Linked DNA regions of Saccharomyces cerevisiae S288C. The protein of the gene in region 1 interacts with the protein of each later gene in a pairwise test. Each region holds a gene or a part of one and is shown in the gene's direction. Other genes may lie near its edges. The genes, in order: NOP4, NOP13 and TMA16.

What was found.
Region 2: the proteins of NOP4 (region 1) and NOP13 interact in binary tests that used the Saccharomyces cerevisiae proteins (3 or more experiments, as listed by UniProt).
Region 3: the proteins of NOP4 (region 1) and TMA16 interact in binary tests that used the Saccharomyces cerevisiae proteins (3 or more experiments, as listed by UniProt).

Annotation. Positions count from the first base shown.
Region 1 is NC_001148.4:467,939-474,335, forward strand, and holds NOP4 (mRNA-binding ribosome biosynthesis protein NOP4), read left to right. Parts: upstream 1-2,000; coding exon 2,001-4,058; downstream 4,059-6,397. Other genes in the region: tethering complex subunit VPS16, read left to right, coding at 1-1,718; cyclin-dependent serine/threonine protein kinase SSN3, read right to left, coding at 5,102-6,397. UniProt on the Saccharomyces cerevisiae protein: Required for 60S ribosomal subunit synthesis. Probably involved in the processing of 27S rRNA to produce mature 25S rRNA.
Region 2 is NC_001146.8:304,216-310,612, reverse strand, and holds NOP13 (Nop13p), read left to right. Parts: upstream 1-2,000; coding exon 2,001-3,212; downstream 3,213-6,397. Other genes in the region: MDG1 (Mdg1p), read left to right, coding at 556-1,656; TDA7 (Tda7p), read left to right, coding at 3,633-5,543; mitochondrial 54S ribosomal protein uL22m MRPL22, read left to right, coding at 5,998-6,397.
Region 3 is NC_001147.6:801,445-807,068, forward strand, and holds TMA16 (Tma16p), read left to right. Parts: upstream 1-2,222; coding exon 2,223-2,759; downstream 2,760-5,624. Other genes in the region: cleavage polyadenylation factor subunit CLP1, read right to left, coding at 1-863; TUM1 (thiosulfate sulfurtransferase), read right to left, coding at 1,106-2,020; peptide alpha-N-acetyltransferase subunit NAT5, read left to right, coding at 2,933-3,463; protein-transporting protein SEC63, read right to left, coding at 3,588-5,579.

The DNA of each region.
Region 1 (6,397 bases):
ACTTGGATTCTACACCAGATGATATATGTTGGTGTGGCAATGATACCGTTGCTTGTTCTTTCGAGGACGAAATCAAATTATACGGCCCAGATGGTTTGTATGTAACATTTTGGTACCCTTTTACTGTAACTAACCTAAGGGCAGAGGTTGATGGGTTGAAGGTTATTACCACTGAAAAGATTTACTTTCTATCCAGGGTACAACCTCAGACTTCTAATATATTTAGAATTGGCTCAACCGAGCCTGGTGCAATGCTTGTTGACTCATTTAGTTTACTGGAGGATCATGCACCCAAAGCAATTGAAATATTAAAGAATTTTGTCTTAGAGAAGGGTGTACTGGACTGTATTGCTGCTGCAATAGACGAATTTGAACCTAAACTACAGAAGATGTTGTTGAACGCTGCATCTTATGGAAAAGCTTCTTTGCAGTACAAGTCATTTGACGCTAGTATATTTGTGAATGCGTGTAATACGATAAAATTATTAAACTGCTTCAGAAGTTTTGGTATTTTTTTGACTGTGGAGGAATACAGGTGTATTTCTTTGAAAGGTGTCATTGATAGGCTGTTGAAGTATCACAGATATTATGAGTGCATACAGATATGCAAATTGGCCAATGAACGATTTCTGTTAGGATACGTGTTTACTGAGTGGGCAAAGGATAAAATCAAGGGTAGTCCTGACATGGAAGATGATGAGTTACTAGACAAAATCAAATCTCGACTAAGTGTTATAGATATGACGGATACATTACAAATGGTAGCAGTTGCGAAAGTTGCATATCTTGAAGGAAGGTTCCAGTTATCCCGTAATTTAGCTTTATTAGAGAAAAACGAAGAAGCTAGAATTGAGCAACTGTATAATCTTGATGATGATAGTATAGCGCTAAAGGAGTGTATCAAAGTACAAAATTACAGTCTGACAATTTCATTACTGATTGCACTTTCCAAAAAGCTGACAAACTCTCAACTGACGAAGCTTTTGATCATTGATATGTTCAACAATCCCTTATATCTCTATTATATGAGAATGGATAAAGCATACTTGTACGATTTTTACCGCCAAACTGACCGATTTATTGACTTGGCTCACGTATTACTGCAGCAGGGAAAAGAACAGCAATCTTTACACAGCTTTTTACCGCAAATTAAGGACCTTTATAGCCAAGTTCAAAACAGTGAAGTGGTCAACAATACAATAGAACAACTTCAAAGACAGGAAAAGTTGTGGATATACCAAGAATCATTAGGCAAAAGATTTGCTATATCATTCACTAATATGACTTTAGATCAAACGCTTTCGAAGTTAATAGAAACAGGGCAAGATAAACAGGTGAAAGAAATAGTTAAAAAGTTCAAAATAAGCGAAAAAAAGCTGTATCACCTGAAATGTAAAACGTTAGTCGAAGCTAAGAAGTTTGACGAACTACTACAGTTTGCTCAGTCGCGGAAATCACCAATTGGTTACATGCCTTTCTACACATACTTAAAAAGCAGAGGCCATATGGATAAAGCTAGTCCTTATGTTAATATGATACCTGGCCTTTCGTATCAGGAAAAGAAAAAGCTTTATGTGGAGTGCAGGGGTTTTCGTGATGCAATTCAACTAGCAGGAAAGGAAAAAGACATTCCAGGCTTAAAGGAGATATATAATATTATACCACCTAATGAGCCGGAATTAAAGGCATTAGCAAATGAAACTATGAGCAGGATATAGAACTCATAATTTATAGACGTTGTGGATATCTAGCCGCATATCAAATAATTAAATGCTGCCATTACGTTTGTGCGGTTATATATGTTGGCTCCCTATAGGGTTACCCATGGAACGGCGAAGGAAAAAAAAAATAATTTTCACTGAAAAATTTCAAGAGTCTATCTCATCTCATCGTTTATTCTGAATTAAATACTACATACAAAATCTTTTTATTAGTAAAATAGTGAGATTTCTTCGTGAACTAGTGAAAAGCTATCAATATTACCAATCTACCAAAGTGAGATGGAAGAAACAATAGAAAATGTTGAAGTGCCTTCTAGTAATGTCTCAAAACAAAATGACGACGGCCTAGATATGAAGACTTTGTTTGTGAGGTCTATACCCCAGGATGTCACAGATGAGCAGCTGGCAGATTTCTTTTCCAATTTTGCTCCGATCAAGCATGCGGTAGTTGTTAAGGACACGAATAAAAGGTCCAGGGGCTTCGGGTTCGTTAGTTTTGCTGTAGAGGATGACACAAAAGAAGCCCTAGCTAAGGCCAGAAAGACCAAATTTAACGGACATATCTTGAGGGTAGACATTGCTAAAAGAAGAGATCGTTCAAAGAAAACATCAGAAGTGGTTGAAAAGAGCACACCTGAGTCATCTGAGAAAATAACGGGCCAGAACAATGAAGATGAGGACGATGCTGATGGTGAAGACTCCATGCTAAAAGGTAAACCGAAATTAATTATCAGAAATATGCCATGGAGTTGTCGTGATCCAGTTAAATTGAAAAAGATCTTTGGTAGATATGGTACCGTCGTGGAGGCTACCATTCCAAGGAAGCGTGATGGTAAATTGTGTGGATTTGCGTTTGTTACTATGAAGAAAATCAGTAATTGTAGAATTGCTTTGGAAAACACCAAAGACTTGAAAATTGATGGTAGAAAGGTGGCTGTTGATTTTGCTGTTCAAAAAAACAGATGGGAAGATTACAAAAAAGCCCAGCCAGAAATGAATGACAAAGATGATAACGAGTCAGGAAATGAAGATGCTGAAGAAAACCATGACGACGAAGAAGATGAAAATGAAGAGGAAGATAGACAAGTAGATCAAGCTTCAAAAAACAAAGAATCGAAACGTAAAGCACAAAACAAAAGGGAAGATTTTTCTGTTTTTGTTCGTAACGTCCCTTATGATGCCACTGAAGAATCTTTGGCTCCGCACTTCAGTAAATTTGGCAGCGTTAAATACGCATTACCTGTTATCGATAAGTCTACGGGGTTGGCTAAAGGTACGGCCTTTGTAGCCTTCAAAGACCAATATACATATAACGAGTGTATCAAAAATGCGCCTGCGGCTGGCTCTACCTCTTTATTGATAGGTGATGATGTCATGCCTGAGTATGTGTATGAAGGTCGTGTTCTGTCCATTACTCCAACGTTAGTAAGAGAGGATGCTGGAAGAATGGCAGAAAAGAACGCCGCCAAAAGAAAGGAGGCCCTAGGTAAAGCGCCAGGCGAAAAAGATAGACGTAACTTATATTTGCTGAATGAAGGTAGAGTTGTTGAAGGCTCAAAAATGGCTGATTTGTTAACCAACACTGACATGGAGATCAGAGAAAAATCTTACAAATTAAGAGTGGAGCAACTGAAAAAGAACCCATCTTTGCATTTGTCGATGACTAGGTTGGCTATCAGAAATCTTCCTAGAGCAATGAATGATAAAGCATTAAAGGCGTTAGCTCGTAAAGCTGTCGTGGAATTTGCTACAGAAGTTAAAAATAAGGAAAGACATCCATTGAGTAAAGAAGAGATTATCAGATCTACAAAGGAAAAATACAAGTTCATGGGTCCAGATGAGATTGAAGCTCAAAAAAAGAAAGACAAAAAAAGTGGTGTTGTCAAGCAAGCAAAAGTTATAATGGAAGTTAAAGGATCAACTGCGGGAAGAAGTAGAGGTTACGGTTTTGTAGAATTCAGAGATCATAAAAACGCTTTGATGGGCTTAAGGTGGTTGAATTGTCATGCCGTTACCTCCGATGAAATTTTAGAGGGTTTGAATGATGATGAAAAGAAACAAGTAGACAATGACTTAGGCAAAGGAAGACGTCTTTGTGTTGAATTTGCGATTGAGAACTCTAACGTCGTAAAGAGAAGAAGGGAACAATTGAAGCAAGCAAGAACCAAGAGAACAAGACCAGATAATGAAGATACTGGAGATGTCGGAGAATCCGAGAATAAGAAGCCAAAAAAAGAAGAAGCAACGACGCCCACCAATCCCGATGACAAAAAGATGGGCGATGATATAAAGAGAATAATCGGGTTCAAGCGTAAGAGAAAGCACGCAAAAAAATAGAGGTAGAACCATATTTATAGGAATTTCGATTTGTATTCTCTTTACGTATGTACATTATTTTTCAAAGAGTAGATAGATGAATCTCTAACGTACTCGAAAGCTTTTATGTCGTTATTTTAGTACTGTTTTACGAGAAGCGCGAGAAACTCTCTACATATACTGTCCAGCATCTCAGTAAATCATACTGAAACCTTATTACCAGTATCGCTCCTAGACGTTCCGTTTGAAGTAATAGGCAAGACGAGAATTATTTATTTCCCATGATATACATAATGGTTATAAGTAGACCGCAAATAAAAGTATGTAAAATTAGCTATGTTTCTACATTGTTTGTGCAATGACTTTTAGGTTCGGCTGGTCATTAATAACTAGGTGATGCTGAATTCACGTATCTTATTAGATACATTTAGAATTCATGACTTCTCCTTTGTATGAGCGTGTCCCTCCTTTTCTTGATGGTTTCAGCCCTTCTACATACTACACAATGTACTTTGTTAACCGATGATAACTCTACTTTATACGTAGTTTAGACTTTGAACGGGATGAACTGGTTGTTTCATCCAATGTTTTCGTAAAGTCATTCTTTTTTATGGAAAATGTACAAAGTTGTTTATATTTTTTGCTATGGTTATTAACCTGAATACCATTAACAGATGTGTTATAATGGGAACATATTACTATTGCCGATAAGTTACGAACAAACCTACTACTACCATTATATAAAAATTAAGGGGGGTACTTGAAGTCTTTTCTTTCTTCTTTTTTGGGAATGCATGAGATATTCATATGTTTTAAAGCCCCATTAGTTGAGATGAATTATGACGAAATTCGCATACATCTGCGGAGAACAGGGTTTTAGCTCGACCTAAAATCAACCCATTATTTTACCTGAATGTTGCAGACTTGCATTCTTAGTGCCTCTAAAGCGAAAAATTGAAACTGTATGCCGATTTAAATACTATAAAGATAAAAAAAAGTTTAATGAATATAATAGTGACAGTGCTGTGGAATGAAAAATTCCAAATATATATAAAAATAGAAGCCTATCTTCTGTTTTTCTTTCGAGATGGCTCATCTGATGCATTGTTTCCTGACACCGCAGCAGCGGCTGCTGCTGCCGCGGCCAGAATTCTACGGTTAACACCAAGCCCACCTAACGCATTTGCAGCGGCACCTGCGGTGATTCCTGAAGCTTGTGTATTGTTTTTCGTTCTTGATCCAAGATTCATGATGTCATTATCGTTCGTGTGAATTCTTCTTGCCGGGTATTTGTAAGTTAGACCTTCAAATACATTTTCACTAACAGGAATATCACTTTCTGTGAAGTACTTATGTTCCAACGCATTAAATGCATCTATTCTTTTAATTGGATCATAATTTAACAAGTGGTAAAGTAAGCTTAAAGCATGCTTGTCCCTTCCTCCCGCGGAATGATACCATGTAGCAAGGTTATCCCTATACTTTGGAAACTTCGTAATTTGATCATATTCTGGATACTTCTCCAAATAAGGCCAAATTTTTTGATCGGGAGTGCCAAGAACTTCCAAAATTCTCTGTAGTTGATTCACTTGAAATGGAACAGTCTTTTTAGAGTCTAGTTTAGCTTCTTCACCTTTAAATATGGGCTGTAATCCTATCAGTTCTGCAAAAATGCAGCCAACGGACCATAAATCAACCGCAGGGGTATAGTGCCGTGCTCCCAATAGCAACTCAGGTGCACGGTACCATATAGTGACAACCACTTTATCCCCAGTATAGAGGGTTTGCAGCATATTATGAAATTTTCTGGCCAAACCTAAATCACCAATTTTAACACATCCATCTATGGTCACCATTATATTTGCGGGTTTCAAATCTCGATGAAGCACCCAATTTTGATGAAGATACGATACGCCGTCTAAAAGCTGCCACATAATAGACCGAACCATTCTTGGTGGTATCATCCTTTTTTCGGGATGGGAATGGAAGTGGATAATTTGTAGCAGATCATGCTCCGCATATTCGTATACCATATGGACACATTTCCTTTCCAAAAAAATTTCCACTAATGTGGTTAAATGCTTGTTGTGCAATTCTCGACATAATGCCATTTCTCTACAGGCACTCTGAGATATTCCCGTATAATGCAATTGTTCGACGCCATCCTTCTCTGTCTTGAACTTTTTAATGGCATAAAATACCGTCAGCGGTTTTTTAATGAGGGTTTGTTTTTGGGAATTATAGTGCGGGGATACATCTTCCCTCGTAGTTCGTATTCTTCCGGGGGTCACTCCTTCATCCTTTAACAAGTTTCTTCTTAATGCGTTTGTATTTGCCTGCATGTCCATTGAAGAGCTTGA
Region 2 (6,397 bases), on another chromosome or scaffold:
GAAAGGAAAAACAGATTAAAACGCTGCTATAACACACTGATTATCGATAAGCAATATTCTAGCTCACTTTGTCACCGTGAATTTGTCAGCAAGCACCAAAAATGTCGATGCTTTCAATGACTATTACGTATCTTCTCTACTTTTGTGCAAATGTAAATACTAAATGAAAGCCCTATTTTGTGTAGGGTTTACACCGCACAAAGTAAAAAGAAGCGATAAAAATGAAAAAAAGTAGTCAAAATACATACTATCAAAGTAAGGGCATTGGTGAAATACTGCGAGGCTGGCCTTTTCCGCAAATATCTGGGGCAGCGAAGCGAAGGGGCCCGATAGGAACTTTTGGGGCGGGAGCCCTTGCATTGACATGGTTAAGGTTTTACATCCATCATTCTCCCCCTCTCTTGTGGTTTAAAAAAATAAAAGGTGGCCGATTTTTATGTAATATAGAAACGACTTCTGTCCTTCTGTCCTCTGTATTACCTAATTTTCTTTCTCTTGATGGTATTTAACTTTCTAAGCATTATAAGATAATATTAAAGGGAAAGTGTTTCTAGAATGCAATCGAGCTTACCTCAATTTACGTTCAAATGGCCCAAAGGACCCGAAGCAATTATTCTGACAGGCACGTTCGACGACTGGAAAGGTACTTTGCCGATGGTGAAGGACCCCAGTGGCGCCTTCGAAATAACGCTGCCAGTAACGTTTGATAGCCCTAGCAGCAAGTTTTATTTCAAGTTTATTGTTGATGGCCAATGGCTGCCAAGCAAAGACTACAAGGTGAACATCGACGAGGGAGTGGAAAACAACTTTATTACCGAGGAAGACGTAATAAAGCAACGCGAAAATGGCTCTAGCACGCTGGTACCTGAAAGTGCCGGATTAGCTGTTTCAAAGAATGCCCCTCTTATCGAACCAGAAGCTGAAAAACGTGCAAAAAAATTAAGAAAGTTCAAGATCAAGAGAGTGATCAAGACAAATAAACAAACCGGAGAAAGGTCGATATTTTCCCAAGAAGTGGTTGAATTGCCCGATAGCGAGGATGAAACCCAGCAGGTGAACAAAACGGGCAAGAATGCGGATGGCTTAAGCGGTACTACAACGATAATTGAGAATAATGTTGGTGTAAACGAGGAAAAAGCAATCAAGCCGTATGAAGAGAATCACCCCAAAGTTAATCTAGTTAAGAGTGAAGGATATGTTACGGACGGTTTGGGTAAGACGCAATCTTCTGAGTCTAGATTATATGAACTATCGGCCGAAGATCTTGAAAAGGAAGAAGAGGAAGAGGACGAAGATAAAGGCGGCGGTAAGGACACCAGTACAAGTGCAGACGCTGAAGCTTCAGAAGATCAAAATAAGGAACCATTAAGTAAATCCGCTAAATTTGAAAAACCGGAAGAAAAAGTACCTGTAAGCTCAATTACAAGCCATGCTAAAGAGACTTCTGTGAAACCAACCGGCAAGGTTGCGACTGAGACTCAAACTTACGAGACGAAACAGGGCGCTCCTACCGCTGCCGCAAAAAAAATCGAAGCTAAGAAAGCTACTAGACCTTCGAAACCTAAGGGCACGAAAGAAACACCAAATAAAGGTGTCCAAAAGAACCCTGCTAAGAATGGAGGGTTCTTTAAAAAGTTGGCCCAGCTTTTGAAGTGAAAACAATCAGGAGAATACCTAAATATATGACGTACTCGCCATACCTAACTATGTAAAACCTAATTATGTATTAATAACAATACCATGTTGTATGTAAACTCTGATGTAGGATCGCACTTTTGCCGAAAGCACATGCTTGTCTTTGTATTTCGCTTGTACGCCTTTGCTCAGAAAATTCTGTAGGAGTCACGTTTCCCGTTGAAATGCAAAAACCTGAAATTTTTCAGTCTGAAAGAAAAAATTGCGATGAGCATAGATGATAAATTTAACCATACAACAAAGAGAAATCCTTTTCCCCACAGAACATTACCTAAACCCAACAACTTTCTATAATTTGAGATAGAATGTCAGAAACAGAACTGTCGAAAGAAGATGCTGTTACAAAAAAGGATAACGAGGAACAAGTCAAGAAGGCTTTACTCGATCCAACAAAAAAGAGAAAAGCTGAAGATGAAATTGAGATTGACCTGAAAAGCTCCATTCCCCTATCAAAAAAACAGAAACGTCTCTTGAGAAGAGGTAAAGTTACTCTAGAGGAGTTGAATGCGAAGTACAATATCGACCCTAAGTCAATCGAGGAATACAAAGAAGATGCTGAAAAGAAAAAGTCTGGTGCTTCTGAGAAAGACGCCCAGGGTGAAGAATCTACAATCAACACTCCAACAGGAGATGAATCTGGCGAGGTTGTAAAAAAGAAGAAGAAAGATGAAAATAAATATGGTGTTTGGATTGGTAACTTATCCTTCGACACCACAAAGGACGATTTAGTAAGATTTTTTATTGCTAAAACAAAAGACAACGAAGATGAAAAGAGCAGAGTCACCGAACAAGACATAACCAGGTTATCCATGCCTCGTGTTGCTGCCAAGAACTCTAACGCCATGAAAAATAAGGGATTTTGCTACATGTTTTTCAAGAACGTCGAGCAGATGAAAGCGGTCTTAGAATTATCTGAATCTCATTTAAACGGAAGGAATATGCTAATCAAGGACTCCGAAAATTATTCAGGTAGGCCAGACAAGGACGATTTAGTTGCCATGTCCAAAAATCCACCGTCAAGGATTCTATTTGTCGGTAATTTGTCATTCGATGTCACAGATGATCTGTTAAGAAAACACTTCCAACATTGTGGTGATATCGTGAAAATCCGCATGGCAACATTCGAAGATAGTGGTAAATGTAAAGGATTCGCATTTATCGACTTCAAGAATGAAGAAGGATCTACTAATGCATTAAAGGATAAAAGTTGTAGAAAAATTGCCGGAAGGCCATTGCGAATGGAATACGGTGAAGATAGAAGTAAAAGACAAGTTCGTAAGAAGGTTGAAAATGTATCCAGAAACAATTCCTCATCATTTGATATCTCTAACAACAAAGGATACGATCGTGCGGGACAGGATAACGGCAGCAAACCCGAATACAAGCGGTCCAACGCCAACAGACGTCCACCTGTAGATTCCAATAACCGAACTAAGAGCAGTGTAGCTTTAGCCACTGCTCAGAGAGGTTCTGCAGCTATTGTCCCATCACAAGGTAAGAAAGTGAAGTTTGACTAATCAGCGTGAACTGACTGTAGGTGCCACGTATATAATGCGATTATTTCGCTTGTAAATTATTCAATCATTCATGTTTTATATATACATTGTATAACCAATTGCTGCTATTTTTATTTTTTCCATTATTGCTTATCAAGGCACGGGGAGAACGCACGGAAAAAAAAAAAAAAAAGAAGAAAGAAATGAGGTAAACAAGATCTTTAGGAGCGGTTCGCATATTAGTAATACACTGATAATCGCCGTACACTCATAAAATCCTAAACTACTCACCAGGTACCGAAACACTACTGATCCGTTTTTTGGACTGGTTGTTGGCACACTTTCGCTTAAGACACACATTTAGTATTTCAATCCCCATCCGTCGATATCTGAAGGAAATCTAAAAGAAAAGCTGGATAGAGTAATTATTTTGGCCATCGTATGAACTCCAATAGTACCATCGGAAGGACCACCCTTGGAGAATCTGATACGATATCCCTGTCATTCAGTGAACCAAGTAGCAGTCTGAATTCACGATCAACGGATGTTGTCTTCGCATCTACTTCAACTTTAGTACCCCAACAAGGAAGTCTGACCTCATTACCGCCCGTGTCTAGTACAGCTACTCCTACATATTATTCTACAAGCTTAACATATGATGAGACTTTGCATACATCCATTGATGTATCTTCGACAAGTACTTTAGTATCATCTACCGACAGCAGTTCATCGAGCGAGCAAGATACGTATAGTTCCCAATATGACCCAGCTACCTCCTCATACTCAATAATTACACCATCCATGTCCATTTTCTCATCGACGTCACCAATGTCATCATCGTCGTCAATAACGTCGGAATGGTCATCGTTAACATCAACAACACCAACGTTATCGTCATCAGCTACATCGCTGTCATCATCATGGTCGTCGTTATCATCACCATCTTCGTTACTGGTATCGTCCTCGTTGTCATTATCACTATCTTCATCATATTCAGACACTAAATTGTTTTCGTTCGACAGCAGATCTTCTATTTTCTCACCATCAACACCCACCGTAATATCCCCTAGTTACACATACTTGTCTTCCATATCTGCAACTTCATTTCAAATTAGTACCACTTCAGAACTCTCTTCTAGTTGGTTCTCAACAATTTCTTCTCCTTCTACGATATCAAATAAAGATACCACATTCCCAAGTTCCAGTCGGAATACTTCCACATCGTTTTACAGTTCATCGCTTTCATCGACGAACGATTTTTCAACCATAAGCAAATCATCGAAACTCAGTCCATCAGCTTCATCTTCGACAGTTTCCATAAGCACGATTTCCGTGCCAACGTCAAGTTCTGTTAGCTCATCCAGCAGTAAAGTACCTTCAAACCGTCCTTCATCATCATCATCATCAGATGATACAACAAGTGCTTACTCAAGCACGTATACTTTTCAGTCCTTACAATCTACTACTAGCAGCAGTATACCACCCACCACTCAAACACCCAGCACTAGTACGATTTCTACGTCTCCCATACCAACATCCAGTCAGGTCTTCAATACGGTAGCCATTTCAAGCTCCGAAGATTCAAAAACTATTTATTATTTCTATACCCAAACATATGATATTACTGACTCCTCTACAACGTTCGTGACGGGATTACCTACGACCATAGCAGTTGCAAAAAGTGAGGTAACCTCATTTTCCGCTCCATCTTCGACGATCACAGCTGACATGTCTTTCTATCAGCACTGGCTTGATGGCAGTTTGGATAATAACAAAAACCAAGGCACTTCAAAGACAAATACTGGTACCATTGTTGGAAGTGTGGTAGGAAGCGTCGGTGGTATTCTTATATGTGTACTAGTAGTTTGGTTCATGCTGGTTAGAAAAAGGAAGGCAAAGAGGCATTTCAAGGAAAACGATTCCTTCTGTCACGAGATTGGGCGCAGAACGGGATTCCCAACAACTGCCCAAGCAAAAGAGGCGTCACTTCAAGCTCAAGACTCGGGATCACAGCAACGAAACACCGAGACTGCTTCTGCTAATAATCCGTTCAGCAACGAATTCAATTTTAAGGCAAGAGGAAATCCTCCTCCAGTGCCACCACCAAGGAATGTTACCGCAATGAATGGCTCCTTTCAAAATATGCGGAGTAATTTCATGGACCAGGAAAACAGATTTTCCTATGGCTCTTCATTTACATATTCGTCATTGGGTTCATCTACTCAAGGTGGCTTTTCTACTTTATCTTCAAATTCGATACGACTCGGACGTGGTTTAGATAATGACATCTCTCATGATGAGAGAAATACAGTTCAGAACAATTCACAAGGGTTCTTGAGGGAAATTATATGACGATGACTTCAGTCTATTAGTATGATGTTTACTAATTAAGCAAAATCAGCTCTTGCTGAATAACACTACTATTAAAAATCATAAAAACATCTTTATTGCCAATAGTGAAGAACGACAAGGCCTTTTAAAAGGCATAAAAAACAATGATACCATTCTGCAATGAAAAAAAAAGAAAACTTTGTTCTTTGTGTATAAAGAAAATATTTTAGTTCTCCTAAATAAATAAATACTAAATTATACGAAACTCTTTCAGTCTTTTCTCCTGCTTGCTGCTTGAACAGTACTCATGATATTCTATTAATCTTCTGTGGGCGGGGTAACTAAGCCTTCACTGTACTCGGGATTTTGAATAAAAGTCAACTATCCAATCTGGAAGGCATTTTAACATACGCCATTAGGAGCCGCATAGCAAGTCAGAGAACCTCACCTCACCCTATCTTTTTTATTAAAGAAAATGAACTTCCACACGGCAAGAATATCTCAGGTCGGTGTCATTTCTAGGGCTCTACTTTCTTCTGTAAGTAGACGTTGGATTCATGTAACGCCAATAAGTCTTAATAATTCAGGAGGATCACTATTCGGAAGCATTACAGAAAATAAACCAAAGGAAGGAAAAAACAGGGGGGATGAAGATGCAGGCAGCTTCTCTAATAGGTTAGCGATTGCTTCTGATTCTTCTGGAGAGGCTCCTGAAGTTAATAGGGATTCAATAACCATAGAAAACGATAAACTACTACAGCAACATATCATATCGTTGCAGCAACCGGAACAATTAGCATCACAGAGCTTATTATCTCCTTTGAAAAGGGAAATATATGAAGCTAATTGTAAAATTAATGGTGGGTTTTACAAGA
Region 3 (5,624 bases), on another chromosome or scaffold:
CAAAGAGGATCCGTTTCAGAACATAGTACTAGCATAATGTTAACATTGAGTTTCTCAATGATATGGTGCAGTTCAGCCAAATTTTCATCCAGTTGTGATATTGATGGCGTATCGACAATGCACCCTGATCTCCTGACTTGAGGATCCAAATGTAACCTTTGACCTACTACTTGACCTAACTGGCTTATACACTCAAGGTATAGATCTTTGTTCTCATTAATCCTTTCCAGGCCAAAATTTTTCACCATTGGCTGCTTATTATGTAGTAGTGTGGCACCACTAGTGAGACTCTGACCCCAAGTGGGTAGTTGTGCATCAAGTATATCTGATATTGGGGTGGCAGATATGCATCCAGGAACAGTAAAAATGGGCTGTTGAGGGTCAAGATTGATGTATAGTGGTTGGTAAGCGTTGAATTTCAAAGCGTAAGAACATAGTGTCCTCGATAGGGAAGTCTTCCCGGTTTGCGAACCACCAACAATCACCACTCGAGGGCCTTCAAAGTTAGACATTCGTATCTTCTCCAACATGAAGTGTAGATTATAAATATATTTCATAGTATGGTTAGGCTTGACAGTTATTGTATTCGTAGTTAAATCAGGACATTTCCATAATAATTCTGTTTCTTCGACAGCGTATATGGGAAACTTCCAGTTCTGAAAAGTGTACTCATCATCTACTGCCAACTCGGTGCCAAATATCTCAACTATGCCCGAGTTTACCTTGACTATCAGTTTTCCCTCTGCTTTAAGATCAATTTGCCAATCACTGCCCTTGGGAATAACCAACTTGTGCCATTCGTTATCACCAGTTATCAATTCTTCAGAGGTAGTATGCTCATCAATACCAGGTAGACTTGCCATGATGGTTTAATCGTGTTGGAATTTCGAAAAGAATTAATAGTTTGTTCTTTTCCCTCGATAGAAAGGTCTCTGCTCATTTTTGCCAGCAGTCTTATTTTTTGCTGTTATTTTCTATTTTACCGGGCAATAACAATGAAGAGCACAAATAAGACAAAGAAAGGGAGATCGCCCTTTAAGTAAGTAGATAGATAATTAATATATGTAGCTAAATAAATCGACTTGTCAAGAATATATTTCTCTTATTAATCTCTGTTTTCAGCAATCCACTCGGGCCCGGATTTCAAGACCCACTCGGTCCAGGATCCATCATATAATCTAACATTGGGAACTCCTGCTAGCTCCAATGCTGTCTTGATAATGACTCCTGAAACGCCAGTTCCACAAGAGCAAATAGTTGGTTTACTTGGGTCCAAAGTGCAATGAAAGTCTTTCAATGCCTTTTCCAAAGTAGCGTGTATCGCCTCCCCAGCTTCTGGGTACGTTTTGGTCTCCGGATCAAGTAAACTTCCATATGGTAATGGTTGGGTACCTGGAATATGCCCCGATGGAATGTCGGAACGAGGCTCTGGTTCTGTACCTTCGAATCTACCGAGCGACCTTGCATCGAAAGCATTGAATTTCTTAGCCAGTTCCCCACTCTTTACCAATTGGAACATTTCCTCATAGTCTACAATCTCCTTGTCTTGGAAACTTTCTGAGGACTCATAATGACTCTTTGGATAGGGTGAAAACGCTGCCACCTTAGAGGAATCTAGAGGGTACTTAAACTCTCTGTACTGGTTGAAATTATTTAGTAAGTACACCTTAGGATGTCCCATCACTCCTAATGTCCAAGCACATCTAGGGGAGCTAAAGTTACCAACACGATCGTAAACCACTAATATATCATCTTTTTGAACTCCTAAATTACTCATAGCGTCGTCAAAAACCTTCTTTGTAGGGAACATATGTGGATAGGGCGATTTTTTGTCACTGATTGCATCAATATCAAAGAAAATGGAGTTTGGTATACGTGGTTTGGTCAAGAAATCCACTTTATTATCAAGCTTCCAACTGGGTAGGTACCATGTTGCATCAACTGGAACGATTCTATGAACCTTCTCACTGGCCACTAACTTAACAAACGCTTTTGGAGAAATAAGATCAAATAATGGCATTGAATGTATGGGCAATTTTCTTCACAACTTTATGCTTTTGTCCTCATTGTTTGAATGCACTTACGCTGTATTATTGTACACAGCTGAACATCCCGAGCGAAAATTTTAAAATGGTTTAATAGACGAGATGAGAGATGAGCTCTTTAAAGGTACTTTCTAAGAAGAAAAGTATCGGAACAGGACTTACCACGACAAACTAATCATGCCGGTTACTAAATCTTTATCTAAGTTGCAAAAGAACTTATCCAAGAAAGGGAAAAATATCACGGTTCATCCGAAGGGTAGAAAGTATGAAAAGCTGGTCAGGGCTACTATGCGTGAAGATAAAATCGCAGCCAAAAAGAAGCTTCATCAAGACAAAAGAGTCCACGAACTAGCTCGGGTAAAATTTATGCAGGATGTAGTTAACTCTGATACATTCAAAGGGCAACCAATATTTGATCACGCCCACACAAGAGAGTTTATTCAAAGTTTTATTGAAAGAGATGATACGGAATTAGACGAACTCAAGAAGAAGAGGAGGTCAAACAGGCCACCAAGCAATAGACAAGTGCTACTGCAACAAAGGAGGGATCAAGAGTTAAAAGAATTTAAGGCGGGGTTTCTCTGTCCAGACTTGAGTGATGCGAAGAATATGGAATTTCTAAGAAACTGGAATGGCACTTTTGGCCTTTTGAATACTCTAAGATTGATCAGAATTAATGATAAAGGTGAACAAGTCGTTGGAGGAAATGAATAAGAAGTGTCGCAGAGGAATCTTTATGGTTTATATGCTCTTTATATAATTTTATGTATATTATAGTAGAAAAAGCAAAGAAAAAAAAGAAAATTGATATTATTAGCGAAGCTTTTTCACAAATTAATCCGTAACAAACAAATTGGCAAAGACAATTGAAGGGAGTAGTGCGAAATATGGGCCGTGATATATGCACATTAGACAATGTTTACGCTAACAATTTGGGCATGCTAACCAAACTAGCTCATGTGACAGTACCAAACTTATATCAAGATGCCTTCTTCAGTGCATTATTCGCTGAGGATAGCTTAGTTGCAAAAAATAAAAAGCCATCTTCGAAGAAGGATGTACATTTCACACAGATGGCTTATTACAGTGAAATACCAGTGGGTGGTTTGGTTGCTAAATTAGTTCCTAAAAAACAAAACGAACTATCTCTCAAGGGCATTCAAATCGAATTTTTGGGCGTGTTGCCTAATTATAGGCACAAATCCATCGGTTCAAAATTACTGAAGTTTGCAGAAGACAAATGCTCAGAATGTCATCAACATAACGTGTTTGTCTATTTACCAGCAGTGGATGATCTTACAAAGCAATGGTTTATAGCTCATGGCTTCGAACAAGTGGGCGAAACTGTCAACAATTTCATAAAAGGTGTAAATGGCGACGAACAAGATGCTATCTTATTGAAAAAACACATTTCTTAACAGATGGCTGAAAAATTTTTTTTTTTTTTTTGGTTTTGCTTTGTATACACATGTATCTATTTTTATAAAGATGAAATATATACGTCTAAGAGCTAAAATGAAAAACTATACTAATCACTTATATCTATTCTGGTGATTCATCATCTTCAGCTTCTGTATCCGTATCGATATCAGTATAATCGCTAGCATCACTTTCATCATCACTTTCGGTTTCGTCGTCATCAGTAGAGTACTCATCATCCTCCTCAGAATACACCTCTACTTGTTCCACTGCAGGAGAATCACGAACTTTCATATTCATGGTAATATCCAAATCTGTAGTGAAATAATCTGTGGATTTAACGATTACTCTAAAAAAGAAATCACCAACAGTTTCAGGTGCAGGCTGACCTAATGGAATTTTTATGGTCCCGATTTCCCAATCATTTATATCGAATTTTTCGTGTTTGGTTAAATCCATTTTTATCCTCTTATCAAAGAAATCTTTGTCATCGTTCAAGTTCTTGTAAGATAGCTTTTCAATGATAATTGGCGTTTGAAGTATTTTACCATCTTTTTGAGAACTTACCAGACAGCACCAACTCCCACGTCTCTTTGTAGGGAAAAATGGTGCAAAGGAATATGGGACGAGTGGCTGTTTACTCATCATAGCAAATGGATCTCTTTGAGATTCAAAATCTTGAGGTTCTGTTAAATTTTCTTCAGGAATTAAGCTAGTTGGTATCAATGGCTGTTTAGCAGAACGAACCAGTACTTTCAAAGAAATGTATGGGGTAGATGATGGTGTTACTTGGTTCTCACCTGGGACAAGGAAGTCTGCCTTGATGATCTTTAGATTTGGAATATGCGATGCAACTCTCAAAGTTTCGTTTAACTTTGCTTGATCCTTTATTCCAAGAACCTCACCAATCTTGGCATCTTCTAAAGTAAACAATTTACCTAATGTATGAATATCTCCGGTTTTGGTAATAAAGTGCTCTTTATCTACGTTCGGCAATTGAAGGATTTGACAGTTTGGTGTTAATGGTACAGCCTGAACAATACACTTGAAAGTATTGATTGCACCCAATGCAATATCTAAATTTCTGAATCCACAAGCAATATCCAATAAACCGTGTAACAAAGAGTGACATTTGGCCACTATTCTAAATTTCGCATTGTTAAGTTTACCACTATCTCTGCGGTTAATATGATCTTGCAAAAGTTTTTCAAAATCCGTTGGTTGCAAATCCGGGAAGAATTGTTTAAATTCATGAGCAAATGATAACCAGTGTAAGATCAAATCTGTGGTGACAATCTCAGATGGCTTGTAATTGACTAAGTTACTAACAAAATTAGAAGCCGTCACATTATGTATTCCCTTCTTAGTATACGATTGTGTTCTTGCCCACCATCTACTAACAAAATATGGCAAGATTAAACCTAGTAGCGCAACATAACAAACCACTAATAATGGAGATGCACTTCCATCTACCAAAAATCTTGGTAGAGCGATACCATGTGAAGTAGATTGTGGGCCATCTGGATGACCGTATTTCAAATAGTTTTGCCTAACCAATTCGTCAGTAAGGGATTCGTAAGCCTTCGTAATCTGAACATAAGTTTCTTCCATCACACTTTTCTCATCAGGTGTTAGGCCCTTTGCTAATTTATCTGGATGAAATTTAACAGATAATTTTCTATAAGCAGATTTGATGTCTCTATCGGAAGCACTAGTAGAGATACCAAGGATTTCATAAGGATCAAATAATTTTGTAGCAGCGTCTTTAATCGCGTCATTACTATTAATCCTTTGCAGAAGAATTGCAACTAAGATCCAACCCACAATAATTATAATATTTCTCCTGCTCCATATTTTGGACTTCTTATTACTATTTTTATCAAACTTCCTTCTAAATTGTTTGATTTCATCACTGGTGTATTCTTCATTCAAGTTCTTGAAAACTTCCTCATTAAACTCCTTACTCTTCCCTGAATTCCCATCTTCAGCATTGGCCCCAAAAAAAATTTGGTATATTTGAAGCAGTGTCATAGGCCCGACGACCATCAAGAGCCCCGTTAAAATGAAGGACGGCCACGTCTCACTAGCCTCATCATACTCGTAATTTGTAGGCATTGTGCTGTAATATGCAGTATATTTATTTTGTTGCGAAGGCCTTCT